Macaca fascicularis: one gene and its partners. The protein of the gene in region 1 purifies or fractionates together with the protein of each later gene. This does not show direct contact. Links are inferred from orthologs where the notes say so. Each region holds a gene or a part of one and is shown in the gene's direction. Other genes may lie near its edges. The genes, in order: EP300, MTA2, SMAD1, HDAC2, SP3, DDX3X and TAF15.

Region 1 (3,500 bases):
CAAATTCTTATCTAATAGTTGAATCCTTATTAATATAACTTTTTTTAAGGGTTTAGAAGCTTCTACTTTGATATCGATACTAATATATTCTCAGTCACGTTGATGAACTGAGAAGTCCCATGAGTCACAGCCATTTTATAAAGTACTGTACTTGATGGACAACTGGTTCATCGTGGCCTCTGATAGACAAGGAGGGACAGAATGAGAGAGGAACCAGTGGATCTGCTTGATTTTATTCTTTATAAAATCAAAGTAGTTCCAGAAAATACTGACTTCTCATTAGGAGGTTTCTTATGACAAGCCTTAGGGAAAAGACAGAGAATGCCAGTTATCTCATTAGAATCTAGTGATTCCAAACAGCCACCCTGTGGGACATCATTATATTTATTGTCTCCTTTTCTGTATCTTTGAAATTTTCTCTGGTGAGAAGGTAAAAACAAAAAAGATAGCCAGTCTTGGCCGGGCGTGGTGGCTCAAGCCTGTAATCCCAGCACTTTGGGAAGCCGAGACGGGCGGATCACGAGGTCAGGAGTTCGAGACCATCCTGGCTAACACGGTGAAACCCCGTCTCTACTAAAAAATACAAAAAAAAACTAGCCGGGGCCGGGCGCGGTGGCTCAAGTCTGTAATCCCAGCACTTTGGGAGGCCGAGACGGGCGGATCACGAGGTCAGGAGATCAAGACCATCCTGGCTAACATGGTGAAACCCCGTCTCTACTAAAAAAATACAAAAAAAACTAGCCGGGCGAGATGGCGGGCGCCTATAGTCCCAGCTACTCGGGAGGCTGAGGCAGGAGAATGGCGTAAACCCGGGAGGTGAAGCTTGCAGTGAGCTGAGATCTGGCCACTGTACTCCAGCCTGGGCAACAGAGCGAGACTCCGTCTCAAAAAAAAAACCAGCCGGACGAGGTGGCAGGCGCCTGTAGTCCCGGCTACTCGGGAGGCTGAGGCAGGAGAATGGCGTAAAAACCCGGGAGGCGGAGCTTGCAGTGAGCTGAGATCCGGCCACTGCACTCCACCCTGGGCGACACAGCGAGACTCCGTCTCAAAAAAAAAAAAAAAAAAAGATAGCCAGTCTTTATTATTTTCTTTCACTCGCTTCTGTATAAATGTGAGCTCCTCTGAAGCAGACATCTTTGAAATCCCCACACACTGCCAGATAATGATAGTTATCAATGAAATAGTTGCTGGCTCTTTGATGTACAACCAGTATTTACAAGTCTTAATTCTCCTGTTCTTAAGTATAATTAAAGGAGGTGAAATGGGCAGAGCAAATGAAAACACCGTGAATGAATATAAGCCAAGAAATAGGTGGCTAATTCTGCTGTCTTGTTGCTTACCTTACATTCTGATTGTATCATTGGCAAACACTGTGTGTGTGTCACCCACTCCCCTTGTTTTTCTGCCCAGCTTTCCCAGCCAGCTGTAAGCATTGAAGGACAGGTGTCAAACCCTCCATCTACTAGTAGCACAGAAGTGAATTCTCAGGCCATTCCTGAGAAGCAGCCTTCCCAGGAAGTGAAGATGGAGGCCAAAATGGAAGTGGATCAACCAGAACCAGCAGATACTCAACCGGAGGATATTTCAGAGGTGAGAGAGTAGGGCAATTACTGTTTGATTTGGTTAGGACCCCAGTCTAGGAACCCAGTTTTTAAAAAATATTACAGAAAAATACTTTGATAATTAGATCTCATGGCATAGATTTTGCATGAGAAAGGATGTTCAGACTACTGATTCCCAACTAGATATCTTTGGAATACTAAAAACTCTTACCTTTTAGTCTAAAGTGGAAGACTGTAAAATGGAACCTACAGAAACAGAAGAGAGAAGCACTGAGTTAAAAACTGAAATAAAAGAGGAGGAAGATCAGCCAAGTACTTCAGCTACCCAGTCATCTCCAGCTCCAGGACAGTCAAAGAAAAAGAGTGAGTCTCTTAAACCGTTTGTTCTGGAGATAACATGAAGAAACCAAAAACCCAGGGCAGAATTGCAATCATGCCTCTTAGGCCTCAGAAGTTGCCATTAATGTGATTTCATTAACCTTGAAGCCCTGGGCCTGGTCTCTTCATTGTTATTAATAATTTTTCTTTCTTCCTTTCTTTATTTTTTAATATTCACTTGCAGCAACCAATGAGTTAGTCGTTCCCCTCATTTCTTCAGGGTTCCGTGTGTTAGTATCCCCTAAAAATTTTCTTATTTTTCAAGAGAGAAATGTTTGTAAATAGCCTTGACTAAAATGCAGGAAAGAATAGCAATAATAATAGTATTTGTCATTCACCTCCTGTGTGCTGAGTACCCACATTGTCTCATTTAATAATTTCTTTCTTTGTCTTTTTTTTTTTTTTTTTTGTTGGATTCGGAGTCTCGCTGCATCGCCAGGCTGGAGTGCAGTGGCACGATCTCAGCTCACTGCAAGCTCCACCTCCCAGGTTCACGCCATTCTCCTGCCTCAGCCTTCCGAGTAGCTGGGACTACAGGCGCCCGTCACCACGCCCGGCTAATTTTTTTTGAATTTTTAGTAGAGACAGGGTTTCACTGTGTTAGCCAGGATGGTTTCGATCTCCTGATCTCGTGATCCCCCTGTCTCGGCCTCCCAATAGTGCTGGGATTACAGGCGTGAGCCACCGCGCCCTGCCTTTTTTTTTTTTTTTTGAGGCGGAGTCTCGCTCTGTCACCCAGGAGGGAGTGCGGTGGCACGATCTCGGCTCATTGCAAGCTCTGCCTCCTGGGTTCATGCCATTCTCCTGCCTCAGTCTTCTGAGTAGTTGGGATTACAGGCGCCCGCCACCACGCCCAGCTAATTTTTTATATTTTTGGTAAAGATGGGGTTTCACTGTGTTAGCCAGGATGGTCTCCATCTCCTGACCTCGTGATCCGCCTGCCTCAGCCTCCCAGGGTGCTGGGATTACAGGCATGAGCCACCATGCCCAGCCGTCTCTTAAACTTAAACCTAACATTCGTCATTAAAATAGTACGTGTCTCTTTTTCTTTGGGTCTAAAATACCAAGCAGTTTAATGAAGGAGTCTTCTGTTGTGTGCCCCTGACTCCTTGTAGTATAAGACAATACCAGATCTAGTCTAGTCCCTGACTTGTTAAATACTGATGTCATGAAGAAAGACTTTTCCTTTCTTGCTTGACTGCATCTCCCTCTAAACATGAGTATCTTGTATCTTGTGAACCCTTTTTTTTTTTTGGAGATGGAGTCTCACTCTGTTGTCCAGGCTGGAGTGCAGTGGCGCGATCTCGGCTCACTGCAACATCTGCCTCCCGAGTTTAAGCAATTCTCTTGCCTCAGCCTCCTGAGTAACAGACTAGCGCACCACCACATCCAGCTAACTTTTTGTATTTTTAGTAGAGATGAGGTTTCACCAGGTTGGCCAGGCTGAAACTCCTGACCTCAAAGTGATCCGTCCACCTCAGCCTCCCAAAGTGCTGGGATTATAGACGCAAGCCACTGTGCTTGGTCCCGTGGACTGTCCCATTTGGCAGTCTCTTCATA
Region 2 (4,140 bases), on another chromosome or scaffold:
AGACCGGGAATGGGCTACCTACACCTGTGTGCTGGGTTTCCACGTCTACGGTGAGCAGGGGCGTGGAACCCTGCTGGAGGGGTGGGGGACAAGGTGGAGCCCAGTTTGGGCTCGGAACGCTGGGCGTGTGTCATTGGGTGAGAGTCCAGAAACCTGAAGATCCAGCCCAGGAGGCCCCTCCGGCCCTCGGGACCGGGAAGGCTTTCCTGGAACGCGACAGTGGGTGGCTGCGGCTGCCGGAGCGCCTGAAACGGTGTAGCTCTGGGCCGTGGGTGGCGGTGGGTAGGAGGTCGGGCTGAGGCCGGCCACTGTGCTAGGCGTGTGGCCGGACGGCTCCGATGGGACCGACATCAACTCCCTGTGCCGCTCCCACAACGAGCGCGTGGTGGCGGTGGCCGACGACTTCTGCAAAGTGCATCTATTCCAGTACCCGTGCGCTCGTGCCAAGGTGAGGCCGCGGGGGCCGCCGGGGTGGGACGGGTGGGCCCGAGGGCTCCGCCGCCACTGCAACTCTTCCCTCCCGCCCAGGCGCCGAGCCGCATGTACGGGGGCCACGGCAGCCACGTGACCAGCGTCCGGTTCACGCACGACGACTCGCACCTCGTCTCGCTGGGCGGCAAGGACGCCAGCATCTTCCAGTGGCGAGTGCTGGGCGCTGGGGGCGCGGGGCCGGCGCCTGCCACGCCCTCTCGAACCCCCTCCCTGTCCCCCGCCTCCTCCCTCGACGTTTGATCGCTGCCGGCGGGACCTACTGGCCTGGCGGCGTGGCCCCGCCCCGCTCTGCCCCGCCCTAATCCCCCACGACCAGGGGCCGACTCTTTCCTCGACTGACTTCGAAACATTCCCGACGGTGCATTTCCCTGGAGGGCGCGAACGGCGCCCCTGCACACACTGTTTAGACCCGCTGGTTGAGCCGGGCAGCCCCAACCTAGGCCTTGACTCCCGCTGCCTGCTGAGGGGCAATAAACCAGAACCAAAGTCGCCTCCCGGTGCTTTTGTGGGGCGCTGCTGGGTGCCTCCGGGGCCCTGTGGGGTGGGGACGAAGGAAAAGAGGCGTGCGGAAAGGGCAAGGGAGCGTAGACCATTTATGCAAATAACAGGCAAAGCCGCTTGCAAATAACCTGGCGAAGCGCTAAGGCGCGCGAGTCTTCGGGGCGGGAGGAGGAGCTGCAGGGCTCCAGCTAGGACAGAGTTAAGCCCCACTCCTCTCCCGCCCTCGGAAAAAGGGGTGGGGGGGTGCCGAGCTGCAACGGAAATAGCCGAGCGATTGGCCGACAGGAGCCGAACTTCTTCCGGAAGTAGCCGATCTGCGGGGTCTCGCTCTCCGACCTGAGCCGAGCAGTGGGCCTTGTTCTCCGGATCGGCCGAAGGTGTTCCGGAAGGAGGCGAACCCTGAGGCGGGCCGGGCAAGCCTTCCCTGCGGCCGGCAGAGCCCAACGACTAGTGGGACTCGGCGGGGGTGGGGGCAGCTGCAGCCTGGCTCTCGCCTGGCAGGAGCCGAGCTCGTTCCGGAAGAAGCCGAGCGGACCGGGGCCAGCCTCAGCGTCCCGGGAGTGAGGCGATAGCTGCGGCGGCGATAGCGCGGGCCGGGATGAACCGCGACGGCTGAGGCAGCGGAGGTGACGGCTGCGCGGGCCCCAGTGAGACTCCCTCGAAGCGCCAGCCCACCGTTCAGGGCTTTGCCTCTAGCCGAGCCCTGCCCCCGCGAGCCTCCCGGACCCCTTTGTGCGGCCGGAGGCGGCGGCGGGAACGGCCATGGCGGCCAACATGTACCGGGTGGGAGGTGAGTACCGGGCGCAGGGGTACAGGGTCCGGGGCGGGAGAGGTTGGGGTCGGGACCGGAGGGGCTCGGCACCGGGTGGCGCGAGGCGCAGCGTATGGGGCGGCATGGACCGGAGCGCGGACCGGAACCGGAACCGGGAGACGAGGAGCTAGGGTGCGGGAAACCGCGACGCGGCAGGGCGCCGAGACTCCTGGAGAGAAGCTGCGGGCAGCCCCGACGGCACTTTCAGGGCTGCGTCGGGGGCTCCTCGGGGCACGGAGTGGGCTTCGGAAACCGGTTCCGAAGGAGCTGACAGGGTGGGGAGGGAACGCGAGGGGCTGGGGCGACGGCTTTGCCACCGCGGAGGAGCCGCCCGGAGGTTTCCTCTTCCCAGGCGTTATTGTGCGCCTCAGTTCGAAAAGGTGGGGGCCCTGCGCTAGAGCGAACAATTACTTCGCCGCGACTGAGGTGCAACTCGTTGCTGAGTTGTGGGGACTGCAGGGGAACCCCTGCTTCTTGCCTGTTCCTTAAGGCTCACTTTTGAGTAATGGATCTGATTTTAGAACTAGGTGCGGTGGGGGTGGGGGACATCCTTATTTTCTCTTAGTCTTTACACTTTCACATCTCAGCGCGCTCTCTGCCTGAATCCTTATCTTCTTTTGATCCACTCAGGCCAACTTTCTCTCCTACTGTGGTGCTCTGCGTCTCTCCCATCTCCTCTGATCTTCGTGGTTCTCGCCCCTCCCTTCCCTTACAGATTACGTCTATTTTGAGAACTCCTCCAGCAATCCTTACCTGGTTAGACGGATTGAGGAACTCAACAAGGTGAGTGGAGCAGAATCCCTCTCCCTCCCTCCCCCAGTGGTCTCTTCTGAGGTTTCTAACTTCAGGTGGAAGAGAGGACCCTATACTAAGTACCCATTCATATTCATTCATTCATTAATTGGATGTATTCAGGAAAGGCTATTGAGAGCTTAGCAGGAACTTTACTATTCTGTCTCTTGGGGGCAAAGGAAAGGGATTTGGAAGTCTGTCCTTGAATGTAAGTATTTACTCATATTTTCTTGGGCTTTTTAATTTAGGTCCCTCCGAAACTTACTGTTATTTGTCTCTTTGTGTATTTCTGTTCCCAGATGATCAATTTTCACTGCTACGTTGTTTTGTTTCTGTTTTTGTTTTTTTCCTCCCCTTAGACTGCAAATGGAAATGTGGAGGCAAAGGTCGTCTGTCTTTTCCGGCGCAGGGACATTTCTAGTAGCCTCAACAGCTTGGCTGATAGTAATGCCAGTGAGTATCTTCATCCCTTTCTTTTCCCCCTCCCCATGATCTGAGGCCTGCGCATGTCCCTGCAGGTATTTCCCCTGGTAGCATGCCCAAGGCAGAGGTGTGAGTTTGAGGGTGGGAAATGCCTGGCCTGAGGAGGGAGACCTGTTTTTACACGTTGGGGTTGGAAGCAGGGTGGAGAGATTGTGATAAGGAAAGCCATGATATGGTTTGTGTATGAGAGTAGGAGAGAGACGATACGGTTTATTTAGGGGATGAAGACGGGGTTTAGAGAAACAGAATGCTTTTCTAAAGGGGGGCAGTTTGGGGTACACTGGGACAGTAGGTGGTGACTGAAGGTCAAGGTGAAGAGGAAGAGATTGTACTGAGAAGCCCGCATAACAGAAGCAGCCTTATTTTGTAATCACAAGGTGGTGAGAATACCTGGAAGTTAGAAGATGGCTGGAAGTTTTCTTGCACTTTTTAATTTCTCACCTTGCCCATTTCCCCACCTGCCACCCCCCATTTTACATCTTTCCCTTTTCATTTTGCTCTATTTTCATCCTCTTTAAGGTCTCATTTTCTTTTTTAAAAAAAAAAATATTTTCTTAGCTTCTTTTTCCTTTCCTGCTTTGGTTTTCTTTTTCCTTCCTTTTGTTCCACCTTTCTAAATCATTTTCCTTTTTCAGACTGCTCTGGGTGAGAAGGGGTTAAAGAGGATCCTGGCTAACCAAGTTCCCTGGCCCTTTAGGGTTTCCAGCCCCATCTGGCAGGGGCTGACCTTGGCCTTGTCCAATCAGAAGGGGTGTTGGGGGTGTGGTCCCCCTTGCCTTAGCACAGGGTTTCCGGAGCACACAAGCGAGGGGTGGAGCCTACTGCACAACCCCCCCTTCTCCCTGAGGTTGGGAACAATGCACCAATGAGCCTGGGCCTGAGGCTTTTCTGCCCCCTCCCACTTTGGTTGGCGCCTAGCCAGATTAACCCCTTCCACTAGGTTTCAGGGCAAGCTGCAGCTCTTTCAGGAGGAAGATGTTGGCACTAGCTTGAGAGGTGTTGTCCTTGAAAACCCTAGGAACTATTATTAGCCAAGTAGAGAATGAGGGATAGTTAGGGCT
Region 3 (3,991 bases), on another chromosome or scaffold:
CTTTCTGTCTCCATAGCCTTGCCTACTCTGAGCATTTCACATATGTGGAAGAATACAACGTGTGGTCTGTCTTCTTCCACTTCACATGTTTTGAAAGGTTATCCATGTAGCATGCATCAGTATCAGTACTTCATTTCTTTTTATGGCTGAATAATGTTCTCTTGTATGGGATACTTTATACTATTTATCAAGGGAGGGTTTTCAATAGGGGAGTGGCCTGATCTGAGTGGCATTTAACAAGGTTCACTTTCCTGTTGTTCTAAGGAGCAAAGGATGATCAACTGCGTCAAACGCTGCTTTTAGGGAAAATAAGATGAGGCCCACGAATTGACCAGTAAGTGCTCAAATAGGTTAAGGGAAAAAGGAATTTAATTAGAAGGCATATTCTGACTGCTGGGAGTGATTTTTTTTATTTTTTATTTTTTATTTTTATTTTTTTGCTTCATGTGAAATTTATTCCTCAAAAAAATCATTCTTGTCTAACTGTAACTCAACATTATAGTAATTATCCAAGATTTTATGCAGTTTCAAGAGTTAGCCAAGAGAAAAGTTGACTCTTAGAAGATATTTTCAGTGTCTATGCAGATCAGGTTGGTAAGAGTTAAGTGCGAAGGAGTTGGCATCATCTAAAAGACTGTAAAAATTGGACCAAAAATGTGGAGTGTTAAAGCAGTATCTCCTTGTGGCATGTCATTTAGAGCAACAAGGTTACCTACTCGAATCACTGGATCCTGAGTTGACATAAAACGCATCTGTTGACTCAGGGTTTGTATAAGCACGTGCAGTAGTTACTAGGCTATCCAATTCTGGGTACGTACAACTTCTGGGGCGTGCAAATTATTGGAGAGTGCGTGAGGGGCAACGAAAACTAGACATAAAAGGGCGCGTCTCCAAGGATAACTGTCAACAGGCACTCCACGTTTATAGAACGATTCGGTGGGCGCGGTGGAAGCATTAATGAACATTTCAGAAAATAAAAACATGGAGTATCGAAATTCACTTGCAGATAATGGACCAAGTCCACTCCACCGGGACTAAAAAGGCAGGGTTAGGAAAGCCTGAACTCCGCGACACTGTTTTTTCTCCAGGAATAAACGGGACGTGGGGCTGCGGGTAGAAGGGGGTGGCTCCGGCCGCTCCCCCGCGCCGTCCTCCGGCCCCGGCCGTGCTGCGCTCACGCCGGTCGGGCCGGGAATTTGGAGAGGATCCCTGGTCGCGCGGCAGCGGCGGCGGCGCGCGGGTGAGCGGGTGAGCGTGTGAGCGAGCGGGCGGGCGGGCAGGCGAGTGCGCCGGGTATTGGCAGCCGAGGAGTGGAGGCTGGGCGGCTCCGACTCCCTGACGCCAGCGCGACCAGATCAATCCAGGCTCCAGGAGAGAGCAGGCGGGCGGGCGGAGAAAGGAGAGGCCGAACGGCTCAACCCGGGCCGAGGCTCGGGGAGGGACCCTGGGAGCGGAGCGCGGCGCAGCGCCCGGCCGGCCAGACCCGGGCCGCGGGACCCCGCTCGCCCGGCCACTCGTGCGCCCGCGCGGACTGGCGCGCCGCTAACCCGGTAAAACGAAACAGACCCAAACCCAACTTTCCCTTCATGCCGCGTCGCCGCCCTCCCCTCGGCGCCCCAGGCTTTCCAGCGCCGCCGCCGTCGCCTCTGCACGCGTGGGGCCACCGCGGTCGTGCTGGGCTGGGGGCGCGGGCGGCGGCGGGGAGGGGGCTCTTTCTGCGCCGGGCGGGCCGCGAACCCCCCACCCCCCATGATGGCGCCTCCCTGCCGCTCTGAGGAGCGAACCTGCCACCGCGTCTTCTTCTCGTGCCCAGCCCGCCGGGCACCCCTGGTGTCTTTGTTGGGTCGTCTGCCGTGGGAAGCCCAGTTCCCGGGCCCCCAAGCCTCGGCCCTCGGGCCCGACCGCGCTGGGACCTCCCCGGCCGCGCTCCCCCTCCGCGCGCTCCTCACATCTCTCCCGTGCGGCAGCCGGGCCGAGGCCCGTTCGCGCGGCCCGCGGACCCATTGTGTCCCCCGCGCCGGCGGGGCGACTCCTGAGGGAGCTGGAGGACGACCGCCTGCGCTGCCCTCCAAGGCGCCTGGTGGAGCGGGTCTCGCGGGCGGGGGACCCCGGCGGCCCGGGCCCCTCCACATCCCGCACGGGTTTCCTTCTCGGCCCCAGCGAGCCTCTTTGGGGTCGAGGTCAAGGAAAGTTCGCACCGAAATCCCCTCTAATTTATTCAAAGGTTTGGCGGCGGCGCGTAATTTTTTCCCCCTCTTCCGCCTACACCCGCTGCGTCTCCTGGTGTCTCATTCCTTTCCCTTTACCGGAGTCGATTGCCTCACTGCATGTGTATTCGTGAGTTCGCGGTTGAACAACTGTTCCTTTACTCTGCTCTCTGTCTTTGTTAGTGTTTCTCGGGGTTGTTTCTGTAGGAAGGTGGGGGTGGTGGGCGTGAGAGACAGACGTGGGCTTGTTTTTCTAGTTGCTGAAGCTGTATGAAGGCTTTAAAGGGAGAACGTTTCCTTGATGTGCTTTAGGAGGGGAGGAGGAACAAATGCCTGCCAGATCTCACAACTACAGTAGCTGAGCTTTTGTTTATTTTGAAGCGCATGCAATTTTTAAATACACGGTGCAAGATAACCAGTAAAGGCTCGTTCCTTCTGAAAATTGAGGCCGGTCTCAACCATCTCCTGAGAAAGCATCGTTTTCGTGAGTGCTGAGACAACTGTCCTTTTTCTCTGCCCTCCCCCCTCTTTTCTTTCCATTGTATCTGAAGTTTCAAAGTACGTGGAATGATAAAGAAGTTGCATGATTTCTGTTATGTCTTCCTGTTGCTGCAACTCTCAGCGGCTAAATCTCAGAATGCCTTTATTTCAGAACATCTCTGGGTCTAATTGTCTGTTGTGGATAACTTGCCCACACCTCGGTAACACAATGAGAAAACTGTTCCCTGCCCATGTTGATTTTTCATCTTGTTTGTAATTACTTTAAATTGTACTGAAGGTGGGTGAGCTGTATTAAAGAAGAATCGGGGCAGAAGTGTTCACTGCCCCAGCATTTTCAATTGGTGTAAATATTGTTGCATCAGTGTTATTCTGATGTAGGTGCCAGATCTAAATATGCTGTACTGATTAAAGTGTTTGTTCTGCCCTCTCCCACTCTCTTTCCTATTTGCAGTTATTTGATATTTCTGTGCAGGTGGTGTATCATTGGTGTAATACTGCAGTTCTTAGGAAAGTGTAACTAGGGTCGTGAGAGATGATTTTTCTGAAGATGGGTGATGCCAGAGCCTCTAGAGGATCCAGGCAGGATCAGGTTTCTTCTGAGGGTAGGGATTTGTCCTTGATTTAGTTTTGACCCCTACAACCATAGGTATGTAACCAAATACATTTTACCCCTTGCAGTATCCTTTGATTTCATATCCTTGAAGAGCTGATGACCTTTGTGTTTTAGAAAAATGACAGTTTTTAGGCAATTAGAGACATTGACGTCTTACACTTCTTGGAATTTAATTTTATTTCTACTAAGTTCATTAAGGCATTAAGAGGAAGTAAGTCACATTTTCTCAACTACGTTGATTACATTTATTAGTTAAAAACTAAATTTCACTTTGTAATTTTGATTTCTAGCAATTCTGGGTTAAAGATAAAATCTAATAACTTAGTGGATTGGAAAAAGAAGTAACTTGGGTGTAATTAGACAAGCATGTTTAAGCTGCAGTAGCCTACATAATCAAGGCCAAGTGTGTGTGTGTATAAAAGATCTCATTTGTGTAGTCTTACAAGGCTAATGGAGGCATCACTGAGGCTTTATAAATAATGTAAGTTGGGTATAATGTAGAGTCTCCAGAGACAGCAGAGAAAGCATCATTACCAGCCTTTTCAACCTGCTTGAGATCTTAAATTGATTTACAGCACTGAACTGGTGCAAAATGATACATCAGGATGACATGGGGTCAGCCTGTAAAAGTCTATGATGTCAGCCTATTAGTTCAGTCATCATAATTAAA
Region 4 (3,500 bases), on another chromosome or scaffold:
ATGCACCTGTAGTCCCAGCAACTTGGGAAGCTGAGACAGGACAATTGCTTGAACCGAGGAGGCGATCTTGGCTCACTGGAGTGCAGTGAGGCGAGATCACGCCACTGCACTCCAGCCTGGGTGACAGAGCAGGACTCCATCAAAAAAAAAGAAGAAAAAGGGTGGCACGCTCCTAATCCTTTGGTATTGCAGTTAAAATACTAGTTTATAGTAATATCTGTACTATACAGTATCTTCTAGGAATACATAACACACAAATGCATACGCACACATACAAATGCATAACATATACAAATAAGTATATATAATACGTGTATATATCATTTAAGAGTATATGTAGCTGGAACCTTTGTGTCTTTTGAGAGAGATTAATGCCTGGAGTGATACTCATTCAACCAGTAGAAACAAAATTTATTTGAAGTCCAATTAAAGAACAACTCTGATGCTGGGCGCCATGGCTCACACCTGTAATCCCAGCACTTTGGGAGGCCGAGGTGGGCGGATCATCTGAGGTCCAGGAGTTTGAGACCAGCCTGACAAACATGGAGAAACCCTGTCTCTACTAAAAATACAAAATTAGTCGGGCATGGTGGCGCACGCCTGTAATCCCAGCTGTTTGGGAGGCTGAGGCAGGAGAATTGCTTGAACCTGGGAGGCAGAGGTTGCAGTGAGCCAAGATCGTGCCATTGCACCTCTAGCCTGGGCAGCAAGAGCAAAACTCCGTCTCAAAAAAAAAAAAAGAACAAATCTGGTGCTTTAGTTGGTAGCTGTTAAATCTTCGAGAAAGTCTGGGTCGTTCTTTCATCATAAGTAAACTCATACCAACAGATTGTGAACCACAAGAAGGATTGTGCGGATGATTGTCCTGCAGGGTTTTTTGGCTTCATTTATTTTCCACAGGTTTACTCATAAAGTTGCCTTGCCATCTTACATATTCTGCTTATGATGGATTTTCTGGTTTAAGGTAATAATGTAATTTCATTGCCTTTAACTGCTTGTGTTAAATTTCTTTTCTCTCAAAAATAATCACTACAGATTAATTGAAAATGGTTCTTGTGTGCTTTACAATCAGTTTATAAATATTGGAGCATATACTTATTTGTTCTTTATTATTTCCTTTCTCAATTTGATTGTTCCGGTCTCAACTTCTAAGATGAATTCAAAATTGGATCCTTAATAGTCTTTTAGTCTTTTCAAAATGTAGTAAGCAAATGTCAAACTTTTTGTTATAGAATATTCTCTAAGATCTGTTTATGTATTTTAGGATATTGGTGCTGGAAAAGGCAAATACTATGCTGTCAATTTTCCAATGAGAGATGGTATAGATGATGAGTCATATGGGCAGATATTTAAGCCTGTAAGTATTGTTTTCAAAATTGGAATGGAATTTCAGAATGTTATTGGAGATGCTAACATTTGTTATCTTGTGTGTAGATTATCTCAAAGGTGATGGAGATGTATCAACCTAGTGCTGTGGTATTACAGTGTGGTGCAGACTCATTATCTGGTGATAGACTGGGTTGTTTCAATCTAACAGTGAAAGGTAAGCAATTCAAAGGGTGGTATTCCCAGAAAAAAAATGATTTTTCTTCCACCTAAGAACTTCCCATAAAAGTTCTCATTGTAATTTCTTGCCTGCTGTTTTAACACTATACTCTGCATTTTTCCTGGGGTTTTGTCTGTTGTATATATGACTAGAGTTATTCTTGTTACATTGTGGCAGATTTATATGTACATTTATATATGACTAGTTTTTTAGTTTATTGTAGTTTGAACCCAAGGCAGCTATTTTCGAATGTTTTTGTTGACTCAGTGTCAATAAAACAATGCATACTTTATTACTTAATTGGATTATTCTCATTAAGGAAGAAGAGGGTTTAGCTCTCCTCACCACTTTGCCCACAGCATACTTGTAACCCTTCCCACATCTCTATTTTTTACAAATCAGAATTTGGTTGTGACATTTAGTGTTTACAGCAGCATCTTTAAACACTTTTCAGCTTATCCAAGTTTTCTTTGCCGAATAATTGTTCCTAAGTTTCACATTTGCTTAGTTTTCTCTCCACTTATTGCTAAACTACTGGTGTCTCAGTATCTCCATATGTTCAGATCCATTGAGTATTCTGTCACTTTTACCTTCTTGAAAAACAGCCTTCTCATCTGTTCATGTTTGGATGACTCTCTTTGGTAGACCTGGCGGGACATATAGCTGTTCTCTGCTTTTTTTCTATTGTATTGGTTCTTCCTGGTGGCTCTATTCTCTGTCGTTAATTTTTTTCTCATGTTTTCGTGGAGCGCCTTCTCAAGTAGCTTCCTGATAAAAAGTGTGTGGGAGATTAGGAGTGCTGCAGTACATACTAAATTTTGATCACGTGTTGAAGTCAGCATATGATGGAAGTCTAGGCCAAAGCAAAATATCACCATTCTGGAATGAACTTCTAGGGTGTAAGAATAAATCTGAAATTTAATAAGATCTTAAAATTTATTTGTTGGTTAGAAATGATTTTTATCATGAGTGTTTGTGTATGATTTTAGAGGTTTTTTTCCATGTGAACTTTTAGGTAGCAAGTTGATACTCTGCTTTGTATTCTCTAAGATGTAGAGAATTCTCAGATAGAACTTTCTCCAGAACAACTGCTGGTCTTAATGGAATTGGATAACTAAATACAGATATTAAAAGCTTCTTTACTTAATGTTACGATTGCTACTATACCAGCTGTATTAGAATTATGGTATAGTCTGTTATTCTACATTAAGTTAAATGATATTAAATTAATTGTCCCTTTGTAGGTCAGCAGTGGTTGAACAGCATGTAACTTAATGTGTTAATAACCATCTTTTGCCTCAAAATGTTTATAAACTTTCTTTTTTTTTTTTTTTTTTTTTATGAGACGGAGTCTCGCTCTGCCGCCCAGGCTGGAGTGCAGTGGCTGGATCTCAGCTCACTGCAAGCTCCGCCTCCTGGGTTCACGCCATTCTCCTGCCTCAGCCTACCGAGTAGCTGGGACTACAGGCGCCCACCACCTCGCCCGGCTAGTTTTTTGTATTTTTCAGTAGAGACGGGGTTTCCCCGTGTTAGCCAGGATGGTCTCGATCTCCTGACCTCGTGATCCGCCTGTCTCAGCCTCCCAAAGTGCTGGGAGTACAGGCTTGAGCCACCGCGCCCGGCCTATAAACTTTCTAAAACGATCTACCTGATGTACTCTTAAGAGTGTGTATTAACTATCAGTTTTCCTGTTAGACATGAAAGTCCTTAATGTTTTTGTACTTAATAGTTTTTATAATCATTTCACTCTTAGAGAAAAATTAACGTTGTATTTCAGCTAATAGTGTTTCAGTTGTATAAAGCATGTAAGGATATTTGTAATTCCCAAGTGTTAAACTTCATTCTGAGTTTCTCTACTGCCAGCTTTGATTCAGCTTTTTCTTTTTTTTTTTGTTTTTTTTGTTTTTTTTTTGAGACGGAGTCTCGCTCTGTCGCCCAGGCTGGAGTGCAGTGG
Region 5 (3,500 bases), on another chromosome or scaffold:
AGAACTAGAACTTAGTTCTGAGCTCTTTTTTTTCTAGTGTAATATATTATTTGTCGAGTGTAGTTTTGGCATAATTAATCTAGTAGTTTTCTGATTGAGTGTGTTTTTTCCATTCCATTTAGAAAATAGGGTAGTTAGCAAATTTTTTACAACTGCAAATTTATTATATTGAAAAAGTCCCTTTTCTTGCTTATTTTCCTTAAATTACCTGTTGGGTTTTTTTTTTTCCCCATCATTGTGCTTCACAGGTATTTTAATATATGGTTTTCATTTCAGGCTTATGCAGAGAAATTCAGAATACATCACTTTGCTCTAGGTTTAGAGATTTTCCTTCAATTAATGGCCTGACTTGCTGGGAAAAATGGCACTACAGTTTATTTTTATCTAGCTTCTGGAGAGGGGATGACTTGGGCAGTATTTACTCAGATTTGTCATTTGAGTAGCTGTATTTATTTTCAAGGAATTTCTTGATTAGAAAGCTGTTCAATGATGGTTGAATATCTGTCTTTATTACTATTTTGTTAAAAAAAAAAAAGTTACATGCTGTAAATTTGACTTTTTTTAAAAGAAAGTAAAGGGGACATAATGCCAGTATTGTAAAACTAATTTGTGTCTGAGTTACTATATTCTTTGATAAAAGCTCAATACTTGTAAATTTTATGCTGGTCAGAAAAAATTTCAGTGGATCCTCCAGGTGAGCAGTAACCTTAAGAAGATAAAGATTGGATTTTAGACACCCTTTAGATTTTAGTATATAGGTTTAAATATTTGTGGTTGACTCAAAATGCCAAGAGACTGAAATGAAACATTCGTCACTGTAATGTTAGGAAAGGTGACTTAACATTGTAATTTCTATACCAGATAGAAGTTGCAGAGTGACATGTGACTTTAATGTCTGATGCTTCGTTTTAAAATTGTTTAGTAAGTACAATTTGAGTGTATTTAAGACAGATCACTATTTTAGTTCAGGCCTAGAGATTTGTATTGGGTTCCACAATTTCTCAGCCTTTAGTGTCTCCTCCCTTTCTTTTCAGTCTCCTTCACTGAGTCTTAGTTTATCTTTATAAAACACAGATGTGATTGCACCACTCACTTGCTTATAAACCTTTTATAGCTTTCACTCGCTATCTACAGGATAAAGTCCAAACAATTTAGTGGGATCTGTGAAACCATTTGCAAGCCTTGATAAAAATGTCTAGTCCTGTTCCCCATTGTTTTCCTTTATGAATATGAGCCTTTTTGGGATCTTTTCTTCAATTTCAAACTTCATATTATTTTTTAGGGTTTCTTTTTGTCTGTGATTTTATTGTTTCTGTGCCTTTATTAGTGCCTCTTTTTTTAACTCACTACAGGGAAATCTTATATTCTAATACTACTTTAAAATATATCTATATGAAATCTTTTTTCAATCTTGTATCTTCCACAGAGTGTTTTGATCATATGACTAGTCTGTGCTACTTTTCACATTGTATTAGCATGGATGTGTGTATGTCTGCTTGGATTGACAGTGAACCATTTGAAGATTGGGATTGTATGTCATGGGTTTACTCACATGTGTATTTCATCTTGGTAAATTACTTTCAAATATTTGAATTTAGTCATTTAACTGTGGTTCATCCACTGAAATAACTAACTGTATATACTTCTCAACTATGTCTTCATGAAAATTAGGTAGTGAGTTTCTTTAAGAAACTTACGATTTTTTTTGTATATCTTATTTGCATTAAGTTATATGGAATGGTTTATGTTGAGATAACTGTGTATGTCTTAACTGATTTTTTGGTCATAGATTCTCACTGAGAATATAATGAAACCCTAGATTATCTTTCTCTCCCTCAAATTGTATTAGTACTTTGTCAGAAAGTTGGCATGCTGTTTTAAAGGGCTTCCAGTGCTGGGCTAGATATGCTTATGTTCCCATTGTCTAATGATATATGGAGTTACTGAACTCACAGGTAGATCTAGAAGGAAGTAGGAGAAGGATGACTTTATTTTGATGATAAATTACATAGGTCTTATTCCCTATCTTTGCCATTGGTCTTGGGGGTAGGAATGACACAAACATGATCTGGTGTTTAAGGGCCTGGGTTTTGGAGTTAAGCTTAGCCTAGTTTTAAATCCTGTCTTACCTATTTGATAGCCATGTGATTTTTGTCCCTCAATTTTCTCAGCTGTGAAATAGGGATAATACCTATCTCATAGGATTATTTTAAGGAGTAAATTACATAATTCTGTAAACCCTTCTCATAGTACTGGCATATAAAAGAAAACCTTAAATGTTAGACATTATTGCTATTATTCCCTTAAGAAAATCTACTCTTGGACGTTGACATGTAGGGTTTTATTTCTTTCTGTTTTTCTACATTGGATTTTTTCCAATCTTGCCTAATCCATAAACTATGGGGATGGTAACTGAGCTGCTAGTAGGTCCAGAAGCATACAGACTGTGGCTTTACCTACTATTCTAAGTTCGCAGAAGAATGCCAGGCATATACCAGAATACAAAAGATATATGCCAGGCATTCTACTGAAAACTTACAGTAGTAGGTAAAGTCACAGTGTGTATGCTCCAGCTTCTGATTCTAGAAAAACCTTTCAAATGGGGCTATGTTGTCATGTAGTCACAGGGCAATGACTTTTTCTCATTCAGTTTTTTTAACATCTTTATTTTTCAATAGTTCATGGAAAAAGTAAAGAGTTTGATAGCTTAATGGAATAGCTCTAGCAATGAGTTTACTTCAGAGTATGTTAATAGATGCCACAAAAGAGTAGATTTCATTGTTTGGTTTTAGGTTTATAGCAATAATAAATCTTTTCTAACTCGGATGACTTAACACACTTTGCTAATGTTTCCTTTTTATACACAAATATAATGGACCTAATTTAGTCATAGCTATCTCCACTGTTGTGTTTTGTGTTTTAACTATGTAGTGTTAGAGATCATAGATGCAGGATTAGAAGATTGGTCTGTGGTTGTGATGAACATTCTGAGAATTTTTTCTGTCCCACTCAAATAGGATGAATTGTCTTTGCAATAACAAAACCAGAAGTGATAATTGTAGTTCATATAGTACTGCTACTGTATTTGAACCCTATTGTGTTTTAAGATAAGTTGAATTTTCAGGTAGTAGGATTTATACCAGTTATTAGAATTTTTTGAGAGTTGGTTTAAATATACCACAAATACATCACATTTTTGTTTTCTTCATCCAGACAGGTGATTTGGCTTCTGCACAGTTAGGAGGAGCACCAAACCGATGGGAGGTTTTGTCAGCCACACCTACAACTATAAAAGATGAAGCTGGTAATCTAGTACAGATTCCAAGTGCTGCTACTTCAAGTGGGCAGTATGTTCTTCCCCTTCAGAATTTGCAGAATCAACAAATATTTTCCGTTGCACCAGGATCAGATTCATCAAATGGTACAGTGTCCAATGTTCAGTATCAAGTGATACCACAGATCCAGTCAACAGATGGTCAGCAGGTTCAAATTGGTTTCAC
Region 6 (3,500 bases), on another chromosome or scaffold:
CATGGCTTATGAACACCACTACAAGGGTAGCAGTCGTGGACGTTCTAAGAGGTGAGGTATATATGGTGTAATAGGTGTTGACTTACAGTTTCTAGTGTTTCCTCTGCATGCATGATGTCCAGCGTTAACTTCACAGTATTTAAAAAGCTGAATCATCTTAGGCTTTCTAGATTCTTTGGTAAGGGGTTGTATTAGAATGGATGACACTCCATTCTAATGTTGGGGAAAATATGGCTGGATGGGGAATTGTTTGAATGGAAAAATAGAAATTGGTCATTGGGAAGTATGTAAGAGTTAGGTTACTTCAGTGGAATTTCATCTTCATGTGAACCAACATAAATTTTTTCTTATAGTAGCAGATTTAGTGGAGGGTTTGGTGCCAGAGACTACCGACAAAGTAGTGGTGCCAGCAGTTCCAGCTTCAGCAGCAGCCGTGCAAGCAGCAGCCGCAGTGGCGGAGGTGGCCACGGTAGCAGCAGAGGATTCGGTGGAGGTAGTGTTAATCTGTAACTTCATAGCTTTGGGAAGGGTTTTTTTCCGTTTAGTCATCTTTTTCAAAGTCTAATTAAACCATTTAAGATCAGCACTATAGAAACTTGATGGCAAAGTACTTAAGGGAAGGATTGTATTTAATGATGGATAACTTCATTAATTTATCTCTCTTTTAAATCTCTCATTAGGTGGCTATGGAGGCTTTTACAACAGTGATGGATATGGAGGAAATTATAACTCCCAGGGGGTTGACTGGTGGGGTAACTGAGCCTGCTTTGCAGTAGGTCACCCTGCCAAACAAGCTAATATGGAAACCACATGTAACTTAGCCAGACTATACCTTGTGTAGCTTCAAGAACTCGCAGTACATTACCAGCTGTGATTCTCCACTGAAATTTTTTTTTTAAGGGAGCTCAAGGTCACAAGAAGAAATGAAAGTAACAATCAGCAGCCCTGTTCAGAAGGTGGTTTGAAGACTTCATTGCTGTAGTTTGGATTAACTCCCCTCCCGCCTATCCCCATCCCAAACTGCATTTATAATTTTGTGACTGAGGATCATTTGTTTGTTAATGTACTGTGCCTTTAACTTTAGACAACTTTTTATTTTGATGTCCTGTTGGCTCAGTAATGCTCAAGATATCAATTGTTTTGACAAAATAAATTTACTGAACTTGGGCTAAAATCAAACCTTGGCACACAGGTGTGATACAACTTAACAGGAATCATCGATTCATCCATAAATAATATAAGGAAAAACTTATGCGGTAGCCTGCATTAGGGCTTTTTGATACTTGCAGATTGGGGGAAAACAAACAACAAATGTCTTGAAGCATATTAATGGAATTAGTTTCTAATGTGGCAAACTGTATTAAGTTAAAGTTCTGATTTGCTCACTCTATCCTGGATAGGTATTTAGAACCTGATAGTCTTTAAGCCATTCCAGTCATGATAAGGTGATGTATGAATACATGCATACATTCAAAGCACTGTTTTCAAAGTTAATGCAAGTAAATACAGCAATTCCTCTTTCAACGTTTAGGCAGATCATTAATTAATGAGCTAGCCAAATGTGGGCATACTATTACAGGGAAAGTTTAAAGGTCTGATAACTTGAAATAGGTTTTTAGGAGAATTCATCTACTTAGACTTTTTAAATGCCTGCCATAAATGAAATTGAAATGGTAGAATGGCTGACCACAGCAATGACCAGCCCTCATTAGGGCCTTGGATGATTTTTGGTCTAATAACGCATGCTAGTGTTGATGTTTTTTGGTCAAGAGGGTATGAACAGGAAGAATTAAATGCAGCAGGCTTTATTTTAAATGCCGATTCACATTACTCTGTTCAAGCTGCGTTGAGATGTTAAACTGGCTTACTATAGACTTTGTAAAATGGCTCCAGAAGAGTAACAAACTGAAATCTTTGAGATCACACAGGTTGGAAATATGTACATAACTGCACAAGGTGTCAATTCTGCTCTACAGTGCAGTTTTAGTCAGTTTTAGTTGCATAGGTTTCCATTGTATTTATAGTCTGTTTATGCTAAATCTGGCCAAAGATGAGCATTGTCCACCACTAAAATGCCTCTGCCACTTTGAATTCTGTGCTAATTTTGTGGCCAGAATGCAGTGATGAAAACGCTCCATCTTTTTACAGTGGCATAGGAAGACGGCAAAAATTTCCTAAAGTGCAATAGATTTTCAAGTGTATTGTGCCTTGTTCTAAAACTTTTATTAAGTAGGTGCACTTGACAGTATTGAGGTCATTTGTTATGGTGCTATTTCAATTAGTCTAGGTTTAGGCCCTTGTACATTTTGCCCATAACTTTTTACAAAGTACTTCTTTTATTGCACATTCAGAGAATTTTATATATATGTCTTGTGTGCGTGTCCTTAAACTTCCAATCTTACTTTGTCTCTTGGAGATTGTTGAACGCAGCTTGTCTAGGAAGGGGATGGGACTAGATTCTAAAATTTATTTGGGACCATGGGAATGATAGTTGAGAAGAAAACTATTTGCACACGACAGATTTCTAGATACTTTTTGCTGCTAGTTTTATGTAATATTTATTGAACATTTTGACAAATATTTATTTTTGTAAGCCTAAAAGTGATTCTTTGAAAGTTTAAAGAAACTTGACCAAAAGACAGTACAAAAACACTGGCACTTGAATGTTGAATGTCACCGTATGCGTGAAATTATATATTTCGGGGTAGTGTGAGCTTTTAATGTTAAGTCATATTAAACTCTTAAGTCAAATTAAGCAGACCCGGCGTTGGCAGTGTAGCCATAACTTTCTGATGTTAGTAAAAACAAAATTGGCGACTTGAAATTAAATCATGCCAAGGTTTTGATACACTTGTCTTAAGATATTAATGAAACACTTCAAAACACTGATGTGAAGTGTCCAGAATCTCAGATGTTTGTTGTGTGAATTTTGTTTAGTTGTGTGTTTTTTTTTGTTTGTTTTTTTTTTCAGTGAATGTCTGGCACATTGCAATCCTCAAACATGTGGTTATCTTTGTTGTATTGGCATAATCAGTGACTTGTACATTCAGCAATAGCATTTGAGCAAGTTTTATCAGCAAGCAATATTTTCAGTTAATAAGGTTTCAAAAATCATGTAAGGATTTAAACTTGCTGAATGTAAAGATTGAACCTCAAGTCACTGTAGCTTTAGTAATTGCTTATTGTATTAGTTTAGATGCTAGCACTGCATGTGCTGTGCATATTCTGATTTTATTAAAATAAAAAGTTGAACTGCACAGTCTCCTTTGTTGTTGTCAATTGTGGTTTATTTTCAGAGGTGAAAATAAAGTGCTCTTGCCTGAAAAATTGTAAAATGTTATTTTTTTGGTTGTCATCCAGTGCTGTTTTTTGAGATGCCTCTTGGATACAGAATGACTCTCATAAGTATTTGCAATGAAAGATGAAGATGTTAGCTTGAAATACAGTGAAACAGAATTTTTGTAATAGATGGAAATCTAAAAGGCCCTTACTGATGTACA
Region 7 (3,500 bases), on another chromosome or scaffold:
TTTTGTCTCAGTGAACTCTGATCCTTTGACAATACTGCTGGTACCAGTTCTTTTGGTGTTGGTGGTGTACTTGATTTGGGGCACTTATTTTTGTACCTTTAAGGCCTAGTACATGGTTTGGTTCATAACAAGTGCTCAGTAAACATTTGTTGAATAATTGAATGAATAAGTGAATGAATAAAAGTGGAAGCACATTCACTAATAATCTTCTCTCAGTTTGAAGATTCAGTTATTCCTTGTCCATGCTCAATTTACATTTAAACGTTTCCAAAGTGAAGAAAGAAGTAACTTTTAAGATTGGGGGGCCGGGTGCGGTGGCTCACACCTGTAATCCCAGCACTTTGGGAGGCCAAGGGGGGTGGATCACAAAGTCAGGAGATCGAGACCATCCTGGCTAACATGGTGAAACCCCGTCTCTGCTGAAAATACAAAACACAATTAGCCGGGCGTGGTGGCGGACGTCTGTAGTCCCAGCTACTTGGGAGACTGAGGCAGGAGGATGGTGTAAACCCAGTAGGCGGAACTTGCAGTGAGCCGAGATCGCACCACTGCACTCCCGCCTGGGCTACAGAGCGAGACTGCATCTCAGAAAAAAAAAAAAAAGATTGGTGCTTTTCATCTAAGTTACTAAGGTTCTTGTAGCTAAGATTGTATTTTAACTCATACTGTTCCACATTGCTGTTTTGCCATATCACTTTAGCAGAATGGAATTTGACACAGATATAATTCTGAAAAACGTAATTCCAGATGATTTTATGATGACTTGCATTTGAGTTGTGTGCGCATGTGCCATTTTCTATAAGGATATGTGTGGCCTAAAGAGCCATTTATGATTATTTGAAGCCTTAGAAATGAGAGTGGTTATTTGTGTGTAATATTTTCTTTTTTGTAGATGACCGTCGTGATGTGAGTAGGTATGGAGAAGATAATAGAGGATATGGCGGGTCACAGGGAGGAGGTAGAGGGCGTGGGGGATATGACAAGGATGGAAGAGGTCCTATGACAGGATCAAGGTAAGTATATAGATAAAGATACCTACATTTTTTCTTATTCCTCTTTTGTTTTTGGTGTTACTTAGCTGGATCAATTCCAGCATCTAATTTAGTTAAGAGACTTAAAAAAGGGATTATGTATTGGAGAAAAAGGCAGAAATTAAAACTGTATTTTCAGTGTTAAGATCTCACATAAATGACCTTAGAATTGGCTATGTTAGCAGTTAGTTTATGTGGTACATGTTAAACACTAGTAGAGAAACAACTATGGTTGTGATTAACCACTTGACTTTCCTGCCAGAGCTAGAATCTAAACTCCTTTAAAAGACAACTCTGGGAAATCCAGTGTTTGTATGTAAAAATAAAAGGTAAGTTAATTCTAGATTGAAGGGCAAGGGCTATTTCTTAATCTCAAATCTCCTTGGGAAGGGAAAGTATTAGGAGGCAGTAATGGAGTAGAAAGGTGGGGATGGCGAGTAAGAGAAAGATTTAATGTAACGAAACTGTTTTGTCCCTCCTCTTAAGTAAATAATTATTGGAATAATTAGTGTAACATCACATAGTAATGTGTATTTTGTCTTGACTAAGTTGTGTAAAGGAATGTCTTTCTAATTCAGCTTTTCTTTTCTCCATGCTAGTGTTACCAGGTTTTGGTATTTATTTACTTACAGCATATGTTATGAAGCTGGTTTTAAAATTGGTTTTAGATACATCTGTAAGTTTACTACTTTGACCATAAAAACAAAAATGAAAAAGTAGTTGACATCTGTCCTCAGAAGAAGTTTGCAGGTTGCATATTTGTGTGTAAATACACAGGCTAAAAGGTAATTTATGTTCCTTGGGAATTGAAATGGTCAGTGGCCTGTTGCTGAAACTTATCAGTCATATATCAGCACCGGTTCATTCTTTTGCACCTTAGGGACCATCTGTCCCCTGAGGTGACCTGAGAAACAACCAGTTGCCCACAGACTGTTATTTCTTCAAGCCAGGATTTGATTTCACTGCCTTGTATTTCTCTATTTTTAGTGTACAGTGGTTTGATTTTATGGAAAACCTAAATTTTAAACATATTTGAAAAATGTTATAAGACTTGGACATTAAGTCTGTTGATTGATAGCCAAAGTCAGTTTACCAAAGTAAAACAAGTAGATTCTATGCCTCTTCATTGTCGAAGAGCAGTCTGCCATCATGTGGATATGAATGGACAATGTAAAGTGACATGGTACTTACTCTCTACCTAATAATAGCCTCCGTCCTATCCCAAACAAGATAACCAACAGGTATATTTAATTTACCAGTTAATATGTTTTGGATAATTGGCTGCCTTGAAATGCTTTATGTTTTATAGTATATCATAGCTTTAGTTTTCTTCATAAGGAAATTACAGTTATATCCTAATCGATTATTAAACTATCACTGTGTCTAAGAATGGAAGAAAAAGATAGGGAATAGGTAGGGAAGTCATTATAAATATATTTTCATTGGCCGGGCATGGTGACTCACGCCTGTAATCCCAGCACTTTGGGAGGCCAAGGCGGGCGGATCACGAGGTCAGGATATCAAGACCATCCTGGCTAACACGGTGAAATACTAAAATACAAAAAATTAGCCAGATGTGGTGGCGGGCACCTGTAGTCGTAGTCCCAGCTACTCAGGAGGCTGAGGCAGGAGAATGGCGTGAACCCGGGAGGCGGAACCTGCAGTGAGCTGAGATCGCGCCACTGCACTCCAGCTTGAGTGACAGAGCGAGACTGCGTCTCAAAAAAAAAATTTTTTTTTAATGTATTTTCATTTGTGACTCATCTTGTGACTAGAAGGTTGAAAGGACTTTGAATGATCCTCCTGACAAAGAAGGGAAGGAGTACCTTAACCAACTGTGGGGTCCAATTAAGTACTTTTATAAACCCCTGGCAACATACTTCATATAATTTGTAGCCTAGATACTGACTTATAAACTAAGTTTTTTATTTTCGTTTAATACCCCTTCATACAAAATCATATGCAGAAGTCCAGTATGTAGTTGGTCAAAATGATGCTGATCTGGTTTCAGTGGGGGGAAAGATTGGCTGAGGAAGGGATCTGCAGTCTTGCCTTATACTCTGTTATTTGTTGAGATGTTCATGAAAGGCCTGTTTTAGAAATCCATGTGGATGCCGATTACTCTTACATTGAGTTGGCAAACTGTGTGAAAGGCCAGATAGTAAATGTTTTGGGTTTTGTAAACCATATGGTTTCTGTTGTAACTTCATTTCTGCCCTTGGAGCACCAGAGCGGCCGTAAATAATAGGTAAATGAATAAACAGGATTGTGTTCCAGTAAAGCTTCATTTATGGGTACTGAAATTTGAAGTTCATATAATTTTTTTTTTTTTTGAGATGAAGTCTCGCTCTGCTGCCCAGGCTGGAGTGCAGTGGCACCATCTCAGCTTACTGCAGCCTCCACCTCCGAGGTTCAAGCAATCCTCCTGTCTCACCCTCCTGAGTAGCTGGGACTACAGGCATATGCCAC

What was found.
Region 2: the proteins of EP300 (region 1) and MTA2 purify together in Homo sapiens (affinity purification with mass spectrometry, with the first as the bait; 3 studies listed by BioGRID). This does not show direct contact. The link is inferred for Macaca fascicularis from reciprocal best matches to the Homo sapiens genes EP300 and MTA2.
Region 3: the proteins of EP300 (region 1) and SMAD1 purify together in Homo sapiens (affinity purification with western blotting; 5 studies listed by BioGRID). This does not show direct contact. The link is inferred for Macaca fascicularis from reciprocal best matches to the Homo sapiens genes EP300 and SMAD1.
Region 4: the proteins of EP300 (region 1) and HDAC2 purify together in Homo sapiens (affinity purification with mass spectrometry; 4 studies listed by BioGRID, with this or other methods). This does not show direct contact. The link is inferred for Macaca fascicularis from reciprocal best matches to the Homo sapiens genes EP300 and HDAC2.
Region 5: the proteins of EP300 (region 1) and SP3 purify together in Homo sapiens (affinity purification with western blotting; 4 studies listed by BioGRID, with this or other methods). This does not show direct contact. The link is inferred for Macaca fascicularis from reciprocal best matches to the Homo sapiens genes EP300 and SP3.
Region 6: the proteins of EP300 (region 1) and DDX3X purify together in Homo sapiens (affinity purification with mass spectrometry; 3 studies listed by BioGRID, with this or other methods). This does not show direct contact. The link is inferred for Macaca fascicularis from reciprocal best matches to the Homo sapiens genes EP300 and DDX3X.
Region 7: the proteins of EP300 (region 1) and TAF15 purify together in Homo sapiens (affinity purification with mass spectrometry; 3 studies listed by BioGRID and IntAct, with this or other methods). This does not show direct contact. The link is inferred for Macaca fascicularis from reciprocal best matches to the Homo sapiens genes EP300 and TAF15.

The regions. Positions count from the first base shown.
Region 1 is NC_088384.1:10,463,487-10,466,986, reverse strand, and holds part of EP300 (histone acetyltransferase p300), read left to right. Parts: intron 1-1,410; coding exon 1,411-1,590; intron 1,591-1,780; coding exon 1,781-1,925; intron 1,926-3,500. UniProt on the Homo sapiens protein: Functions as a histone acetyltransferase and regulates transcription via chromatin remodeling. Acetylates all four core histones in nucleosomes. Histone acetylation gives an epigenetic tag for transcriptional activation.
Region 2 is NC_088388.1:11,457,002-11,461,141, forward strand, and holds the start of MTA2 (metastasis-associated protein MTA2), read left to right. Parts: upstream 1-1,340; 5' UTR 1,341-1,755; coding exon 1,756-1,783; intron 1,784-2,519; coding exon 2,520-2,587; intron 2,588-2,955; coding exon 2,956-3,049; intron 3,050-4,140. Other genes in the region: EML3 (echinoderm microtubule-associated protein-like 3), read left to right, coding at 1-50, 318-448, 529-732. UniProt on the Homo sapiens protein: May function as a transcriptional coregulator. Acts as a component of the histone deacetylase NuRD complex which participates in the remodeling of chromatin.
Region 3 is NC_088379.1:150,367,580-150,371,570, forward strand, and holds the start of SMAD1 (mothers against decapentaplegic homolog 1), read left to right. Parts: upstream 1-1,191; 5' UTR 1,192-1,248; intron 1,249-1,352; exon of another isoform or gene 1,353-1,550; intron 1,551-2,290; exon of another isoform or gene 2,291-2,691; intron 2,692-3,991. UniProt on the Homo sapiens protein: Transcriptional modulator that plays a role in various cellular processes, including embryonic development, cell differentiation, and tissue homeostasis.
Region 4 is NC_088378.1:17,988,119-17,991,618, reverse strand, and holds part of HDAC2 (histone deacetylase 2), read left to right. Parts: intron 1-1,264; coding exon 1,265-1,357; intron 1,358-1,434; coding exon 1,435-1,543; intron 1,544-3,500. UniProt on the Homo sapiens protein: Histone deacetylase that catalyzes the deacetylation of lysine residues on the N-terminal part of the core histones (H2A, H2B, H3 and H4).
Region 5 is NC_088386.1:69,481,362-69,484,861, reverse strand, and holds part of SP3 (transcription factor Sp3), read left to right. Parts: intron 1-3,213; coding exon 3,214-3,500. UniProt on the Homo sapiens protein: Transcriptional factor that can act as an activator or repressor depending on isoform and/or post-translational modifications. Binds to GT and GC boxes promoter elements. Competes with SP1 for the GC-box promoters.
Region 6 is NC_088395.1:41,348,695-41,352,194, forward strand, and holds the end of DDX3X (ATP-dependent RNA helicase DDX3X), read left to right. Parts: coding exon 1-51; intron 52-353; coding exon 354-493; intron 494-680; coding exon 681-760; 3' UTR 761-3,262; downstream 3,263-3,500. UniProt on the Homo sapiens protein: Multifunctional ATP-dependent RNA helicase. The ATPase activity can be stimulated by various ribo-and deoxynucleic acids indicative for a relaxed substrate specificity.
Region 7 is NC_088390.1:42,128,215-42,131,714, forward strand, and holds part of TAF15 (TATA-binding protein-associated factor 2N), read left to right. Parts: intron 1-892; coding exon 893-1,013; intron 1,014-3,500. UniProt on the Homo sapiens protein: RNA and ssDNA-binding protein that may play specific roles during transcription initiation at distinct promoters. Binds to ssRNA containing the consensus sequence 5'-AGGUAA-3'. Can enter the preinitiation complex together with the RNA polymerase II (Pol II).